2 linked regions of the Caenorhabditis elegans genome follow. The protein of the gene in region 2 purifies or fractionates together with the protein of the main gene of each other region. This does not show direct contact. Each region holds a gene or a part of one and is shown on either strand. Other genes may lie near its edges.

What was found.
Region 1: the proteins of ufl-1 (region 2) and T13H5.8 fractionate together in Caenorhabditis elegans (co-fractionation; one large-scale study listed by BioGRID). This does not show direct contact.

The regions. Positions count from the first base shown.
Region 1 is NC_003280.10:8,512,065-8,525,310, reverse strand, and holds T13H5.8 (Lipid scramblase CLPTM1L), read right to left. Parts: upstream 6,802-13,246; coding exon 6,670-6,801; intron 6,627-6,669; coding exon 6,489-6,626; intron 6,441-6,488; coding exon 6,112-6,440; intron 6,068-6,111; coding exon 5,681-6,067; intron 5,640-5,680; coding exon 5,207-5,639; intron 5,158-5,206; coding exon 5,081-5,157; intron 5,035-5,080; coding exon 4,830-5,034; 3' UTR 4,615-4,829; downstream 1-4,614. Other genes in the region: prp-9 (Matrin-type domain-containing protein), read left to right, coding at 1-60, 110-268, 336-862, 914-1,175, 1,235-1,420, 1,466-1,690; cht-2 (GH18 domain-containing protein), read right to left, coding at 1,874-2,043, 2,090-2,450, 2,492-3,040, 3,092-3,161, 3,213-3,587, 3,629-3,726, 3,785-3,892, 3,933-4,024 and 1 more; rnh-2 (Ribonuclease H2 subunit A), read right to left, coding at 7,110-7,372, 7,418-7,646, 7,696-8,003, 8,065-8,158; ctg-2 (CRAL-TRIO domain-containing protein), read right to left, coding at 8,600-8,969, 9,018-9,274, 9,324-9,450, 9,676-9,961, 10,071-10,257.
Region 2 is NC_003282.8:7,033,140-7,038,859, forward strand, and holds the start of ufl-1 (E3 UFM1-protein ligase 1 homolog), read right to left. Parts: upstream 3,721-5,720; coding exon 3,647-3,720; intron 3,452-3,646; coding exon 3,334-3,451; intron 3,333-3,333; exon of another isoform or gene 3,240-3,332; coding exon of another isoform or gene 3,105-3,239; intron 3,050-3,104; coding exon of another isoform or gene 2,990-3,049; exon of another isoform or gene 2,984-2,989; intron 2,492-2,983; coding exon 2,337-2,491; intron 2,182-2,336; coding exon 1,942-2,181; intron 1,893-1,941; coding exon 1,684-1,892; intron 1,639-1,683; coding exon 1,492-1,638; intron 1,436-1,491; coding exon 1,152-1,435; intron 1,111-1,151; coding exon 895-1,110; intron 849-894; coding exon 689-848; intron 638-688; coding exon 343-637; intron 62-342; coding exon 1-61. Other genes in the region: C06G3.3 (uncharacterized protein), read left to right, coding at 2,990-3,049, 3,105-3,239; cogc-2 (Conserved oligomeric Golgi complex subunit 2), read right to left, coding at 3,944-4,213, 4,311-4,395, 4,441-4,689, 4,737-4,853, 4,899-5,302, 5,349-5,720. UniProt on the Caenorhabditis elegans protein: E3 UFM1-protein ligase that mediates ufmylation of target proteins.

The sequences.
Region 1 (13,246 bases), on a different chromosome or scaffold from region 2:
GAAAAGTTAACGCATAAGGCCAAAGTTAATAGCGAACAGCGAGTGAAAACATTTGTCGATGTAAGAAATAACTGTTATGTTATTTCAATTCAATATTATTATTTTTCAGAGGTACTATTCAGTTTCCGCCGAGCTTGCCAAATTTTATAAAGATGAAGACGGTTCGAAGAGCATGGAAATGGATTCAGTTTCTGGTCCAAATGAGTTCGCCGAATTTTATTCAAGACTGAAGGTCATCAAAGATGCGCACAGAAGAAATCCAGACGAGGTTAGTTTTGTTATTTTCCCCGGAAACAATTAAGTTTGGTTGTAATATAATTTCTATACATTTTCAGCTTGCCGAACCACTCACCGTGGAGTTCCAAAAAATCAATGAAGAAATCATCAACCCTGAAAGAGCCGAGCCAGATATGGTTGAATTCAGTGATGAAGAAGCTTACGGTCGTTTTCTAGATCTTCATGCACAATACGACAAATTCATTAACTTGAAGAACATCAAAAGGGTTGATTACATGACGTATTTGTTGAATTTTGAGAAATTCACAGAGATACCGAAAAATACTACCAAGAAGACAGGAGCATATAAAGAATACATCAATTCCTTAAAAGACTATCTTGTTTCTTTCATGCAACGAACTCGCCCACTCCATGATCTCGATTCAGTTTTCTCTGAGGTTAATCAAACTGTAGAAAGAGCATTTAAAGCAGGGAATCTTCCTGGTTGGGAAGCTGATAAAAACAAGAACGGACCTCAAGCAGCTGCTGTGGATTTATCTCCATACAATAGTGCTGAAGAACTCGAGGGATTGGGATTGGAACGTTTGAAAGGAGCTCTCATGGCAATTGGTCTGAAATGTGGAGGGTGAGTTAAAAATATTTGGATTTTTTAATTGTAGTCCTCGTTATTTTTCAGAACTCTGAAAGAACGCGCTGATCGTCTTTTCGCTACCAAAGGGCATAAACTGTCAGATCTCGAAAAAGCAGCAATGTCTTCAAATAATTCCGATGCCGAAAAGCAGAACGCTAAAAATTTGACATTGGCACAAACGGAAGCTCATATTATGGCACTTGCTGATATTCTAGCTGAAGAACGTACTGGAACTCGCGAAAATGTCGAGAGAAAACAAGCTAGATCTGCTGGAGAGGTCGAAGAAGAGGAGGAGGAGGAAATTGTGGTAGGTTTGAATTATTTTCTCTAGTTATTTTTAGAAACATTTAAAAATTCATTTTTTAGATCGAGGAAGAGGAAGAAATTGATGAGAGTGCACCATATAATCCAAAAAATCTACCGCTTGGTTGGGATGGAAAGCCAATTCCGTATTGGTTGTACAAACTTCACGGCCTCAATCTATCATATTCATGTGAAATCTGTGGAAATCAAACTTACAAAGGTCCAAAGGCGTTCCAAAAGCATTTCAACGTAAGTTCATTATATTGGTCTCGTTCAAAAACTTGATATTTGCAGGAGTGGCGACATTCTCATGGAATGAGATGTCTTGGAATTCCGAATACCTCTCATTTCGCCAACATTACGAAGATCAAAGATGCACTGGATTTATGGAATAAATTGAAAACCGAAAAGGAGATGGCTAAATGGAATCCGGACATCGATGAGGAGTACGAGGACTCCAGCGGAAATGTGGTCACCAGGAAGATGTATGAGGATTTGAAAAGACAAGGACTTCTGTAGACGCTATTTTATGTATTCCATTGTTCTTCTAAGTTATTTTTTTTCCTTTTTAATCTTACATTTCTGTAAGTTTTTAACCAATTGGTCTCATTTTTCAAATTTAATGGATAAACTTTTTTGTAATTTTAGTACAATTGAAATAATTTATCGGTATATACAGTTTCAGATAAGTAGTGAGAAAGTTTAATACTCAAATGCAGGATTTGCCTTGAAATCAGCACATCCTAAACAGCTACAATATTGTTCTCCTTTTCCGCAATAGCCACTATTACTGCAACAGTAGGATTCAGAATCCGGATCACATTTTGGAATTTTTCCAGTAGAAAGTCGTGGAGCATTGTAACCACAACGACCTGAAGATATATTCTTATAAGTTGAATTGAGGGCCTGTTCCCTCACCAACGTTGGCTGGATTCTCAGAAAATGTCCACCATTCTAATGGTTTATATTTGAAATCTCTCTGTTTTGCAAAATCAATACATCCATTACATTCACAATGTTCCTTTGAATTTCCACAGTAACCTCCATTACTACAACAATGAGCATTAGCATCATCTGGATTACAAGTTGGCGCTTCTCCTTCTAAAGGTGGAACATCTCGACCACATCGTCCACGTTTCCCTTCTCCAGCATCCGATGTGTACCATGTGATCTTTTGGCTTGGTTTCACTGGTTCTTTCAAAATTAAATTTGGATCTGCACCATAGTCAATACATTCAGGACAAGAACAGAATTCTGCACCGGAACCGCAATAGCCATACTGCAAAACGGTATTATGAAGCCTTTCACGGTGGTACTAACCTTTCCACAACAAGCATGACCTGGATCATCTGGATCACAAACGGGATAATATCCATCAATCAATGGAGACGATTTTCCACACATTCCAGCCAATTCCTCATTATCATCATATGTCCACCATCTTTTGTCGTCTACTGGAGAACACTTGTAGTTGAATGACTTTGTTGATGTGGTACAAATAGATTCAGCTGCAGCAGAGTTCAGAAGGGTACCTTGATCATCATCAAAGTCAATTGCCCATATCATAACTCCTCCAATATTATTTTCAACTATATAATCAACTTTATGTTTGAGACTTTCAGCATTTTCATATCCAACAAAGGTTTTTTGTTCAGAAAGCCAAATGAATGGGGTTTTGGATCCAGAATGAAACTTGGTTTTTGTAGTATCAAATTTCTCGTGCAGATCTCTCCATTGAACATCTCCACCTTCAAATTTTGTGCCTTCTGAATTAGTTGCCGTAGCAGTTCTCCACATATCATCTGTTGAGTCAACAGCATCACCCACATTCTTCCAGAAACGACCATAGAATGGGACACCCATATTTATCTGGAAGTTGATTAACGGTTACGGTAACTCAAATACCAAAATGTTTCTTACCTTATCAGTTGCTTTTATTTGGCAACTGTAGTCTTTCATCGTGGCATGTACGTTCATTCTTCCAGAGAATCTAAAAAATTATTTCGTTGCTCTTCGCTTCCCCTTACTAATTTTAGCTCACTTTTTCGGCATAGCAAACTGTAATGGTGCTGGGGGTCCAGTGTATGCACCCCATTTCGAAGCCCATGCTCCAAAATAATCATAACTCATAACATTCACAAAATCACAATATTTCATCAATTGTTGTAGATCGTATCCTGGTTTCAAGACCCAATGTCCTGCTGCTCCAGCGAACGATATGAGATACGACTTTCCTGTTTCGGATTCCAAATCTCTCAACTCATTTCGAAGTTCTCTCATCAAGTTTACATAATTCCTTCGATCAGCTGGAGTACCCTCAACAGCACCGCCTGTTACGGGATATTCCCAGTCAATATCAACACCGTCAAAACCGTACTCTTTAATAACTTTGACAAAGTTCGAGATTAAAATTGATCTGAAATTTTATGTGTTTTCTAGATCACGCCTTTGACACACCTTCTAGAGTGATCTGCAGTTAAAACGGAAAAATATTGAGAGTTTTCCCAGCCTCCAACAGCGTACAAAAGCTTGAGATCTGGATGACGAGATGCAACCTAAGATATCAAATATCATTTTAAAAACCTATAACTTTTAAATAGTTTTTGACAATACCTCTTTAACATGTTCCAATCTTGCTTTTGCAGCATCTCCTTCCAACTTGACACTTCCATCTGAATCGACGACGAAGAAGGCGAAAACTAAGTGTGTCAGCTTTTCAGCCTTAATTTGAAAGTGTTAACTGAAAAGTTTATAAAAATACCTGATCATCTCTAAATGGATGTTTGCCCCACGATGTAATATAACCAACTCTTCGTCTTCCACAAGATCGGTCTAGGATTCCACCATTGGACACTGAAATTTTTTAAATATCAAATTTCTTTGTGACCTTAGCGATTAAAACTAATTTTTAGATACTGTTTTATGTTTCAGAGTTGTGTACCTAATTAAAATATAAGTACGCCTGTGACGTCACATTTCTACCATTTGCTATTACATTATTGGCTACGATGAAGACTCCGACAACCCGTTAATACCAAAATAAGTATGAAATATACATAACTGTTTTAATTTGTTACCAATTTTTATCTAAACTTCGAAATGAAGTTTATAATAAATCTGCAAATATCTGGAAGTTCGATAAATTTGCATACCTCCAAAAAGTACAGTAATCCACACAACGAACAGCCACATCCACATCACGAATCTCATTGGCTACGCGGACAAAAATGAAGTCAAGTTCCATTTCTCAAGGAGCTTTTCAATCTCTACACTGTATTCCTGCGTTTATACAAGTTCTCACACTATTTCTCACATTTCTTGTATTTACACGCGCTCAAATAAGGTGTGAAAAGCAAAAAGCAATGCGCCTTCAAACAAGTCCGTTTCGTGTCCATTTACGAAAAAGGACGGCTCTTTCTTATTGGTTGTCCCGCGAGAATCATGATCTACTTCGTTTATTGAGGGAAGCGAGGCTTCCAATTCAGCAGAAATCACACGAACAACAAATTGAACCAGTAATGGCAAACAAATAAATAAACACATTATAATTATTAAAATAAAAACAAGTTTGTAGAAATTTTGGTTTTAAAAAGACTGTATAAGTTACGGTTACAGTTAAAGTCTAGATGGTTTTAATACTTTAAAATCTGAGACTATTTTAGGTTTTTCTAGCAGTTCTCCGCTTGATGGTTCCCGATTCATCTTGTTCTGTGGTATTGCTCTTCTCTTCAACTTCAGGCTCCAGCTTCTCTTTGTTTTTCTTTTCTTTCTCATCACCACCTTCTCCGAATTCGTTGATTCTGGTGTAATCAACTGGATACAGCCATCTTTGGTAGAGATATACAAGGAACACAATATCGTCTCTGATACAAAATTATTATAATATCTTCCTCTCTGAAAGTTTCTTACCTGAAGCAGGCCATACGATGAGCAGTTGGCATGGTTATGACAAATGCAAACAAGTCATCAATAAACGTATTGAATGCCTGTAAATTAGATAGATCTCGATATGAATATTTTGTAATTTTAAGTTACCTTGTACATGAAAGCTCTCCATGGAAGATGTGCCACACTCTTTAACTTGTAATTGACAAACAATTGTGGTAACATAAACAAGAAGCCAAAAGCATAAACTCCATTAGCAGATGTTTCCAGAATCCATGATCGCCATGATTTATGAGGAACGTAAAGTAAGCTATAGATAGCTCCACCAATAACAAGTGGAACTAAAAGAATCGACAGGTACTTCATGGCTTGCGAGTCGATGGAATCAGTTTCGTCTTCTTCTGTTGAGTGTTTTCCGAATTTGATTCCTTTCCAAGTTATTGTAACTTTGTAGGCTATGGTGACTTTCCAGTATTCGATTACTGTAGCAATTCCAGCAGGAATCAGAACAAGTAATGATGTTTGTTGATCGAAAAGATAGAAGAAAATTATTGTTTGAGAGAAGCATCGCCATAGGAGAGTTCTGAAAAATAATCATAAAATGGAAACATGTGCTATTCATACTTTGTAGATAGTCCGACCATTGATTTTCTTCCCTTCCAAAATGAAATATCATTTTTGAAAGCTAATGCATCAAATAGCAAATGTAATGTAGATACGAAGAAAGTAACCATCAAAAGAACAATTGAGGTTTCAGTGAAAAGTCCACGAAGCTCATCAACATCCTTATCTTTAAATCCATGTTTCATGAGCTGGTGGGTCGAACGAGCTGTTGAGGTGAGCAGAAGCAGCTTGGCAACGCTTGTTGGTTCGTAGTTAATGGTCAAGTTTACAGACTTTTGGAAGTCGGCGAGTTCATAGAGATGCTTGCTTCTCATACTCATTTCATCCACAAACATGATTGGAAGGTATCCTTCTTTTTTATCCTGCCGTTGAATCGTCAGAAAGTCACTGAAAACGAACATATATTTTCATAAAATATTTATTGAACTTACGCCAATTCTCCACTGACTTTGGTCTTTACGTATCGGTTCGGTTCAGATACAATTCGTACCGGCAGAATTGTTCGGAAATGTGCGGCCAGTTCAACAACTTTTGACTTGGACTTTTTCGGTTTTTCATCGACTTTTTCTTTGACTTCTTCATCTCCTAAGAGTTGGAAAGTCTTGGCCACTGGCTCTTGAAAAACTACCATAGGAGCCGCTACGTGCACTTTCCATGAAGCTTGCATCGGATTACGACCATCAAATTTATGTGGAAGTAAAATTGTATGTGCATATAGGTAGCCATCTTTAGCAACCGAAGACGGAATCTTCACTTGAAGCTGAAAATAAAATATAAAATGAGGTTATTCTATATTTTAGAAAATTACATCTTTCTGGAAGGCATCGGCAACTTGCAAGTTTTCAACAGTCGTGATAAGTGTCTCCAATGCATCTCTTTTCGTTGAAAAATAGACTCGAAGCTGTAGTAAATCGTACAATCCTTCGTGGTTGGGTTGAACAATTGGCTATAAAATGTTATTATAGTTTTGCCTCAATCGAAAAATTTACCGAATAGCACAATTCGTCAGAATCCTGATCTGTACATAACTCCGGAGTGAAAAGCTTATAAAGTTGAAAAAAGTTGTAGAACATGAAACTGAGGAACAGTGTGCTCACAATTTTTGTCAGGTTTATCTCCATCTGGAAAAATCACTTTTTGAAAGAATTTTTGAGAGATTCATCCAAATATTAATATCCGGTGAAAACGGAATTTCATGATACTTTCATTAAATACAAATCGGAGAATTTCAAAATTTATTCAATGAGTATCTAAGAAAAGTTCACCAGAAAAAGTAAGAGAAAATGAATATACTACAAGTAAATTGAGGTATACAACCAAAGTGATGAAATATTTAGAGGGAGATATGAGGAGATCAGAAACGCGTTAAAGAAAATGGTAAAATAAAAATGAATGGTGATATTGAAAAATGTAAGTATTTCGTTATAATTCAAAAAGTTAGAATATTGCTCATATGTCTTTCCTTGAAGTACACATTTCTTTTTGGTACAACTTCTGTTTCATTTTTCGGAACCATCCATGAAGTCATTCTTTTGCTTTGTGATTTCCCTTCTTCCTCGTCATCTTCCCAACTGCCTGGAACACATCTCTTCTCAACGATAGTACTGGCTGTTTTCCAGGATGATCGAACGAGTGAGCAGAAGCCGAAAACTGGTTCCACACTTAATTGAAGGAACTTCTTTGTGTTTGGATCTGAAAGAAAAATAATAAAATATACTATTCATAAAATAAAAAGACCTCCAGGATATCCACTTCCATATCCAGCATCTGGAACTTTAATATTTTTCTCTCTAAATTGCCAATTTCTCAAACGCGAGTCTCTCGTGACTTTGGCGGCAATGGAAGCTGCACTGACGATAGGAAAAAGTGAATCAGCTTTTTCAGTCACGCAAATTGAAATTCCGGGAAATAATTTCTCGAGTTTGGCTTGATAAGTTGCTTTCGGGCCAACTGTGTCCACTTTGATCTGAAAAATAGTATACCTTATATTTAGCTTGTATATATTTTCAGGAAACCTCCACTACATTCACATTGCAAGCTAGCGCATCTCGAATCAAAGTGATCGCAGCTTCATGGGATACTTCATTCAACGAATACTTTTGTCTTTTGAGCATTGAGCAACTGATCAATTCAGGGGAAAGACATCTGAGAGCATATGCTATGATCTGTTGGATGTCTTCGTCTTCATTCATCTTGTTGAAGATTTCTTCACGTTTCGCCTCGTTCAACGCTTTTGAATCGTCGACACCAAGATTTTTCAACTCTACATTTTGATCAAGTGGGGAAATCGCTGCTGCGTAGACCATAGGACCGAGCACTGGACCTAAAATTTGGATATATTAGATTACTGAATTATCAATTATTGACTATTATTTTCCACAAACCTCTTCCAGCTTCATCAATGCCCAAAACGCACGGAATACCATTCCCGAAATTGTTCCACGTTTTGCTTCGTTCAGTTTCACACTTCAGTGACATTCTCTGAGAGAACAAATATTGTAAAAAAAATAAATATCTATTCATATAATACATTTTGAAGGTTAATTCAAGAAAAAAAGACATTGAAGTGAATAATGACATAAAATAAATAAAAATCGTGGAAATAAAATTCAAATTGTGATGCGGCCGAGCTTTTTCTTTATGGTATGCAGATACGCTCTATTGACAATAACTAGGAAAATTCGGTCGCGAACAACACTTGGACAATATTACTGTACCCCACATATTTATATGCACAGAAAAACTTTCAAACGTATAATTAGCTATCACTAGCACTTTATGACGTCGTTCGAATGATTTTGAAAAATCAGAAATTAAAAAGCAAATACAACAAATAAGCTGATGGATAAAATAAACGTTTTAATAGGTTATGAAAGTATACATTACAATAAATACGATTTTCTAGTGTGTACCGGTTCCTCAAGGATTCCGCACCTCAATAAAATATTTGACAGTTTTAGATCTTAATTTGCTATGAGTATTATCAAATACGAATTTATATACTCCAGGCTCCGCAGCACACACTTCTCCATCTTCCGGAACGAAGTCTGTTTGAAGTTTGAATTTTGGATGCACCATGTAGTCATCGTCATGCTCTGCAACTTTCTCTTCACCTTCTGCTGCTCGAAGAATCGAGAAATTGATATCGTTATTCTCCAGCCTCCACCACCAATAAAGTTTTCTTCCTGGTACATTTCCTTCGAGAGTAATGGGAACAAATGTTGTCGAACGAGCAGAAACGTTGAGTTTGGTAAGCTTCTCAGCTGGAAGATCGTTGGCCGGGTCATACCTAAAAAACAGGATTATTTTTCAAATAAATTTTCCTCTGCAAAATTACTTCAATTCAGCAGGAATCTTGCCACCCATTCGAACATTTCCATATTCAGTTTCAGCCTTTCTAGTTCCACCCCATCTTTCAAATAGCACTTCTTCTCCAATATTCTCCTTCAAATGTTGTTTCCAATCGTTTCCCAAAATCTTGACTTTCTGTTGAGTTTGCTTGGCAAGACATGGCGAGATCATACTCCAGAGTACTTGAATAAATGTTGGTGTATTAACAATAAATATCTTACGAATTACATCAGGAAACATCTCCTGAAATTAAACAATTCAATTTTTAATACGACTAATCTGGAAAATGTACCTGAAGCTGCGAGAGCATGGTAGTCACAACCTTCAAAGCAGCCAAATCAATTTGAACCATTGAAAGTCCGTCAAGATCGAAAATGACAGATGTTCCCAATGGTTTTCCTTGCTCTTTTTCCATTTTTCTGAAAGTATAAGTTCTAATTTTTCATTATTATTACAGTAGTCTACATCTTATTTCGCAACTAATGTTTCTTAATCTCTGGACAAAATATAATTTTCGGGTATTCGATATCAGTGTTCTATTTTTCAATTTTTCTCTTCCGCTATCATATAAGTCACAGAGTAAACAGTATTCCAATCACTTTTGCCACACAGACTAGAGTGACGTTATCTTGAACTACGCATACCTGATAATTTGCATGACTCCTTCACTTTCAGCAATTCTCATTCTGTATAAATCCGAATTTCTTGTGGCTGGCATGAGACCGGCTGCGTCAAGATGTCCAATCATTTGAAGAGAGACCACATTATTCTCATGATCCAATCCGATTAAAGATCCAGGAAGGTATCGAAGTGGAACACTACAATCATCACATTTTTGTGCCACTTTTTCCAGTGTTGAGAGATCTTCTTGGTCAAGTCCAAGTGCATGAATGGCACGAAGTGAGAACTTGATTTTTGGAACCACAACATCTGAAAATATATCTATTTCATTTTACAATTTTTTCGAAATATTTCAAAACCATCATAAAATTCATAAAAAAAACATTTACAGTTTAAACAATATTCCAAAAAGTCTTACCAATTTTTCGATCCCATCCGATTAACCATCTCATAAGTGAAAAATCATCATCATATTCTTTCACTAATTCTAATTCTTTATGAATCCTTTTTCTGAGTTCATCGAGAAGCTTACGATCACTTTCAGTAATTTCTCCAGTACTTGTAGACATCCTTTCACCTGACAATCGTTTTTTGGTCAATTTCATTTTTTTTGCTAGAAGCTGGTGTGAGAGAATAATAAAAAGTTAGAAATATATAATTGTTATCAATGAGAATATGTAAAATGACAAATTTTATCACGGCGCCCGGGGCGAACCGAACTTTATCGAAAATCAAAGAGGATACAAATATCGAATAACACATGACTACATTTTTAGCCGTTTGATTTCATTTTAAGAAGAATCAATTGACACAGAGCATAATGCACAGTTTCACGAAAAAATCGTTGTGTGTACTAAATGAGCACACAATTCATTTGGTGATAAGATGTTTCAGTGAAAAAACTACTAAAAGTATAATGTTTTCATTCTCTGCAGATAAACTATGCACTATTTTGAAAGACTTCATCTTCATTAATTTGAAACTAAAATTCCAATTTTATTTTTGAGAATCAAAGGTACATTTCAAATCTCAAAATTTTGAAACTAGAATTTTGTATATATATATATATAAGTTGAGCTCGCATTTTTAAATTAATTTTTGCACATGTGCACTTTTTTTTTACTAAAATTATGTATTAATTTTTGAACTTGCAACAATGCTTAATCTCTTAATTTCTCAACAAGTCAAAATTGTTCAAAATTTTGGCAGTTTGCCAAAACGGGTTTATGAAAATCTAAAATGTTGTAGTTTAGCTGGAGTCCTTCTGCATTGATCTTTTTTTAATTATTAACTTTTTAAAAAGTGTTACAAAGTCAACGGTAAACTTATACTAAGCATTTGAAGAAAAACATTTATCAAAAAAATGCCACCATTTGTTTTTAGTTGGCATCGTACAGTTTTCCATATAATTGATAACTTGTACGACGAAAAACTGATGATGAAGGACATAGTACAATTATCAAAATAAAAATGGAAAGCAATTTACCATCATTTTCCTTGGATTTCATTCGAGAGAATAATCCCATTTAAATTTTCAAATAAATTTTATTCGTTGAAATGTCTTCTTAAAATGCATAGTTAGCCTTTGCTCGGCCCCGTTTCACGAAAAACAAAAAAGAAAAAAGAAAAAAGAAAAAAGAAAACCAAACTTTTTTTTGAAATCCGAATAGAAAATCGGCTTATTCTTCAAAATGGAGAATCCTTGACAACCAAAATTTGAATATTACAGGATAAAGAGAGACATAGACAAAAAGAAGCCATTTGAGAACGGGCGGTCTCCACCTACCAAAGAGAAATGTTTCGAGAGAGAATGAGGGGGAGAGAAAGAATAATATTATAGTAACGATAAGAGAGGAAAGTATGCCTGGAAGAGACGGAGAATAAGTTATGAACATGTTTCGAAACCTTTTTTTTGGAAATTTGTCACTTTGTTTCTGAAATTTAAGCCAATAATTTTTTAAATCAAAATTGATAATTAAGATGGGACATTGAAAACACGAGGATATCAGATGTTTTATATTTCACTATATTATAATTTCAACATCTACATTTTCTTCAAAATTATCATAAACTGCTCCAAATTGTCTTGGAAGTAACAATTTTACATTTTATTTAATGATCAGCATTTGGACTGATCTTCTTTAAAATTAAGCTGTTTGATTTTTGATAATTTAATTTTCTGTAATTTTGAAAGATAACAATACGGAAAGGAAATTTACTACCAAAAAACAACTATACAACCAAAATTCCTGACTATTTCTATCAATTTTGAGATAAGTTGGAAAATTCAGAGTTTTAGGTTAATTCTATGCATTTCAAAAACAAGTGATGCATGGAGAATCTGCCATATTATTCCACAGTATTTTTTTTCGCTAAATATAAGCGAAACAACGATCACATCAACAGGGAAAATTCCTTACTTTGGAAATTTACAAAAAATCAAAATTTTGCGTTTATAAAACACAATTTAAACGAAAAACATGAGACTCTAGTAATTCTCCGATCGATTCTCTTCGGGAAGCAAAGGACTGTCGGGTGTTGTGGCGGAAAGGAGCAAATACTGTCTTTGCCTGCACTCTCCTTTCACTACGAATCTATTCCCTCCTGCTGAACACAAATACACACATGAGACTTTGTTTCTTTCCGTTTATTTTTCCCGGACAATTAGTCTAGTCTAACAGGCTCGTCTTGATAATTTGTGTGAAGTGGGATAAAGCACAAAAGACAGAAATAGATGTAAACTTGAAGTTGAGAATTTGAATAAACCGACTTAAAAAAAACATAAAGATTAATCAGAGAAACAATTCCGCCTGTTCTGAAAACTGAAAAACCGAAATTGTCTAATCATTGATAAGAAAGCGACTTGACCCGGAAAGCCTTCTTTATTGCAAAACAAGCCAGCTTTCAAGGCAGGTTTCGGCCGGTAAGTACGCCAACAGGACCAGTTACTTGCTCTGAAGTTAGACTACAGATAAATAAGACATTCAAACCGTTATAATAACTGTTTCGGGAAACCAAGAAAACAAAGAACGCAATTTTCAAAATTAATGGTCATTCAAATGACTTTCTGCAAGATTTGCGGAAAGTTTTTCGAGGTCATCCTTTGTGTGGCAATAAAAATGAAATTAGCCCTCCTTTATATTGTTCATCGAGTTAACAGAATGTTGTTGACTTACTGAATTTAGAAATACTCTTGTTGTCAAGTTTAACCAGAGAGCAGGTGATATTGAACATTCCGAATGTGATGACTCATTTCAAACTGGCTTGTATTGGAAAACGAGAAATGAAAACTGGCTGAAAACTAGTAAAAAATTCAATATGTGAAAAGAAATTAAAATACAGAAGTTAAGTTCCAAATCTTCGTTAAGTTTTATTGGCAGCTTTTTAATTCGAAACTCACACAAGAAAAAATCGCCATTGAGCTCCAAGTCAGTTTTATCATTGAGTTTTGTTCACGTAATATGTATATAGATAATTTTTTTCAGAAGTTTTTCCATAAGCAGATAATAAATTTGTGCTCAATTCTGGATGTCTTCACTGGTTGTAACTTCTGCCGTGTAGTGCCACTCAATTTACACTTTTTTCCAATATTTC
Region 2 (5,720 bases):
CTCCGTTTGAGAACAAAGTTGCTCATGAAGTTCCGCTGTAATTTTAGCTCCAACTTCGGCTCTGAAAAAATTTGTTTTTTTTTAAATTTTAAATGTCACTTTTTTTCTAAAAAAAATATACTTGAAATTGTGAAACAATTTCAATTTCGATCAATAATATTTAAAAATTGCAAAATTATTCGTATTTCGCTTTTTTTTTCAAAAAATTCGAATTCAGCCCTGTTTCCAGCAGCTGCGACAAATTTTGAAATTTAAAATTTTAGCTTATTTTTTTCCAAAATTTTAACTCACTATAAATAATTTTTAGATATTTTTTGGAAAGAATTATGAAAATAATTTTACCTTCCTTTCTTGTCGACTTTTTTCAGTGCCAACGAAGTTGCACTTGGAGCCGAACAATTATAAACAGCATCATGAAATTTATCCAAAGCATCATCATCTGTAGATTTCAGCGACGCAAACACTGATCGAATCGGATCTCTGAGCATTTCAGGAAGGTTTTCAATTGTTTCTTCTCGCTGTTTTTCCTTCAATTGGTGTGCATTATCTACTCCCATAACATATGAAAGCAACGCCAATGCAATTTCATTTCCAACTGTTTTCAGAAGATATTGCCGAAGATCTGAGCCAAGGGGATCTGAAATTCAAAATAAATTATTTTTCTATTCAGTTTTAAAGTTTTTTCTACCAGCAAAAGTGGAAGTAGCCGTCTCAAATGTGTTAAATGAATCGTAAAGTTGTCTACACTTATCGCCGATTGCAGACAATGACTTTTTGGAATTAGCGACGCTGGCAACCAATTGATGTGCTTGAATGTCTTGAACTTTTTTGCGAAGTAGCGTTGTTGTCTGAAACATAAAAATTATTTATTTCTGAAGAATCCATGAGATGGACCTCTTGATTCAACTTTTCCACAATTACTGAAAGAATTTCTTCGGGTACTGATTGACTTTCACGAAGCCATATTTCCAGTTCCTCACTATTTATGGAAATATTCGCCGACAAATTGGATGAAGTTGAAGGAGCAGACGATTTCGAACCACCTTTCACACTTTTTGCGTTTTTCTTTCCTCCTTTTCCACCTTTCTTTCCATCTCCCCAGTCATCCGTCTGAAAAATTAAATAGTTTTTTTTCAATTCAATTTGTATACCTCTTCTTGAACTTTCACTGCTGCCTTGGCTCCGCCTTGTTTCTTTTTCTCCGCTTCTAATCGATCAACTTCCTCATGTGCTCTGACGTCCAACAATTTGTCAATTGAACGCAGAGCTTCAGTCAAAACTGCTCCCTTGAACACAAAACCCTCTGCAAAATGCGAATCTTTTTCCACATTTGCAACTTTTGACCCGATTTCATCCTCATCAGCAGTATCTAGAGGAAGATTTAGAGATTGAAGAGCCAAATGCACGTCGGATATTCCGCTTTTTTGTAAGTCTTCTGAAAATTTAAAAATTCAATTAAGTAATAAAATTCAAAACAATTAAACAAAAAACCTTGAACAGCATTAATACATTGATCCATGAGTTCTTTTGTCATAAACATAGATCTCATACTGACAAGTTTTTTGAATTCAGATGATCCAAGAACTTCTTCGAGAGCTGGTTTTGCATCTACTCCTAGAGTTTTTAGAGTTGAAATTTCTGGAATTTAAAGAAATTAAAAGATAAACAAATAGATGATCATACCTAAAAATTCATTCTGTCTATATTGATTCAAAACGCACGACTTCACAAGATGATCGTACATCATTGGACGATACGAGCAGGAAGGTGATGTACGAGAACCGATTAAAGTACCAGGAATTTCGCCGAGAGATTGAAGATTTTCGAACGCAATCCAAAATCGTTTCGGTGTGAGACCAACTCGTTTTTGGATAGTTGAAATAGGAGTGATTCTGTTTGGAAAAAACATTATTTGAACGGCAATGGAAAACAGATTCTCACTTAGTTAATGCAATCAGAATAGCGCGTAGAACCAATTGTCTGGCATTCAAAAATGAAGAAGTATAGATCGTATCCCCATCAACCACTCCTTGAAAATCAGAAGATCCCAATTTTTCGATTAGCAAGGATTGCAAAAGTTCCGATGATAGATTCCAGTGCTTGCAGAGTGCTGCAGTTGTTTGATTTCCTTGCTCATCGAGAAGTGTACGCAATTCGTTACGAAGACGATGTACGTATTCACTGAAAATTTATATTTTTTGAGTGTTCAATGAACAAATGATTTTGTCGATTTGCAATTTGCAATCGACACGTAACAATAATGAAGTCAATGTGTTCTTCTTTGTTCTTTTCCGAACTTTAGGCCTATCTAAATCACGTGAATAAACTTGACCTACGTCGCGAATATCTCTGCATTCGAAATTGTAAATTCATCATCAGTCGAAACAATCAAGCGCGAAGTCTTCTCGATATGATCGAAATCTATGTTAAGAGCAACTGCGATATCAGTGAGAGAAGCACGTCCTCCAGCGGCTATGCACTCGTTTTTTATCTGAAAAATGGATTGATGAACTTGAAACTTTGGAAAATATTCAGCCTGTGTAATTTTCCAATTATTCTGCCAAAATACGGTAGCCGGTCTCGAAGCGACATTATTATCTTATACACAAAGAGCAACGCGCCTTTAAAGATTACTGTAATTATTCGTGTGTAGATAATATTTTCCAGATTTTCAAAACGTAAATGACACATTTTTGCTTACAAATATTTATTTAACTACTTTTTTCTGTGATACTTTATAATAAAAATTAATTGTTCTTCTTTCATATTTATTCCTAACCGTAAATTTATCCTCAATAACAAATCGAAAACCAAGGCTGCTGTCAAAATGAAAACATGATCACATGTTTTGCTGCTTCCAGTTTATTCTGTACTCACATTTCTGCATTTGTGTAAACATAAAAGTTCATTGCGGTCAACAAAAAGGCGGAGTTTGTGAGAAAAAAAAGAAAGAATAGATAGACATTTTTATTTTCTCAAACACTCAACAATGCCCAATCCATCTCCCGCAATTCTAATGCCAAAGTCTATATTAAAGAAACCTGATCAAGTGAGCCTAAGCTGTTTGGAATGTTAGTATTCTTTTAAAAAAAAGGAAATTTCAGAGCCAACACGAGTCACCATCAAATTCTCCAGTTTCTCCATCACCCCAAGAAGTTCCACGTGGCAAAAAAGAATGGTGGCTTCCATTTAATATACCATTTCATAATGAGATTTTTCGAAAAAATTCAGGGTTCTGAAATTTAAGAAACGACTACATATTGGTCTCATCTACCAATATTTTACTTTTATTTTCATTTTTTTTTTTTGAATAAAAAATTTCTGCCCTCTCACCTCAGTTTCCAAGTGGTTTTTAGTTACATAACTATGCCCATCTCTAGTATAGACCACGTCAATTCGATGAGAAGCGATAAGTTTTTGAAGGACTTCAATGCAATTCACCTCGGAGAGCCTTAAAGAATAATTTTTTAAAATTATTCTACAATTGAGAATTTTAGTGAAAAATTGTTAATACAGATGAGATAAATAATTAAATTTTTGATACTAAAACCTTATTAATTTTTTGTTGTTTTTAGGGCAAATGGTGTATGTGCTATCATTTAGTATCAAATATATAAAATGGCCAAGAATCAATGATATTTCTCACTTTTTAGATGATTGTGACAGTTGAACTCTCTGCAAATCTGATGCAAGTTTCTGAATATCTGCCCAGGAAGTCATCTGAAATATTTACCACTTTAATATATCAAATGAAAAAGAAAGAAAAAGAAATGAATCGATGGATTTTTAACCGAACTTTTAAGAAAGTGAACACAAATACGATGCTATACACTTTTTATTCCAATACCATGAACCCATATTAAGGCAATAGACGATTTTAAAGACTTCAACCCATTTGTTAAAATAAAATGTACATGTAAATAAATAATCACATAAAATTAATTCAAGCATTCCCCGCTTCTTCGTTCTGATTTTTCTCTTGTACAATCGCCGAACGTGCATCTTTGTCAAATCGATTGACGACTTCTTGTAATCCGGTGAGATCAGCTTGTGAGAATACAAGATTTTCCGCATAGCTCAGGAAATATTTAGCATCATGATAGATTTGTTGTTTGATTTTATCGTCATCAGTAACCGTGGAGCCAGAATCAGTTGTGGTTTTCCGTTTGAATCGGGATAAAGAAGATCCTGTAGCTTCGACACTATCCAGCACCTGAAAACAAATATTTTGTTGCAATTTGCATCAATTGGAGTGGTTTATAAACTTAGCGGGAAAAAAAATTATCTCATGTGTCCAAAATAAACGTTACCTCGTTCCCTTTCCCCACGAAATAATTGAATGCTGAAAGATTAACTTTTCGAACAATTTCATCGGTGTGAGGATGTTCTTCGCAGCTGAAAAAAATACGTACAAAATTTTGTGGAAGCAATATAAACTACCATAGTTTTTCTTTCAAATTCTCAACCATTTCAATAGCTGTAACAACATATTTGGAATGCGTTGTCGGTGGTGATTTCTTCGTCCATCTGTATTGTTTAGGAACATCGGAAACTTGAGCAATTTCTTGATGAAGAACTTCGGAGAACATTTCAATAATACTATCATCAATTTGAACACAAAGACTATCAATTGATCGACCATGCTTTGTTAGGCATTGACCGAATGGAGCGGTATCCACTGTGATATCACTGAAAAAATGATATCTAAATGTAAGTAAGTATTTAAATAAACGAACTGAAATTTTCCCCAAATTGACTCCAACGCGAAATCGAAAACCAATTGATGAAGATTTCCAGTATCCGAGCGGAGAGTAACCATTGAAGTCCAATCTCTTTTTTCTTCCATGAAATAACTAGAAAACAAAATATTTTTCGTGAAGAAGAACTTTTAATCTAACTTTTTCATAGTTTGACTCCACGAGAAATGCTTTAGCAAAAGCTTCAATGTGAAATCCCATAATTTATCAACAATAGGAGGAAGATACACATCATCACTCCACACATGCTCAATTGCTGTTATAATTGCTCTTGAAACTCCGCAGTGCAGCTGAGGAGTGTTTTCTCGATTTTCAGAAGTTTCTGGCTCGGCAAACATTTCGGGAGACATCAGCTGATCGCACTGTTTTCCGAATCGATGTGTTTCTAATTTAAAATAAACTAATAAATTGAATTTATCCCTGATCGACTTAAGCATTGCACGGCAGGTATGAGAAGATGGCCAATTATCGATAAATTCTTGAGTGAGCAAGAAACATTCATGGAAAAGTCGTGTGTCACTTGGGACTGCGACGGCTCCCATACACTGAAAATACAAATAATTATGAATATAAAAAGTTATGAACGGAAACCTTATCAATAAATGTCAGAATGAACGTGAGAAGGGTTTCGTCCAGAAAACGGCGGATGTTTCCACGAAAATGTTCAGTCCCCATTTTTTCAGCCCAAGTTTCACGCATTTTTTTGACGCTTTCGAAGACTTGTTTCAAGAGTTTCAACTGATTACTTTCGTCGTGTTTCTCATTTACAAATTCGGCATACAAAAGATCAGAAACCAAGAGGGCAGTTAGTGAATGCGTACTCTCCGTTAACGATAAAATTGAATAAATGAGAGGAAGATTTTGACAATCACCGGCGGCACTTCGAACTCCTTCTGCACAGAGAACCGCTTCCAGCTGAGATAGAATTATCTTTTCAGCGGCATTTTCCTCTTCCGAATGGGG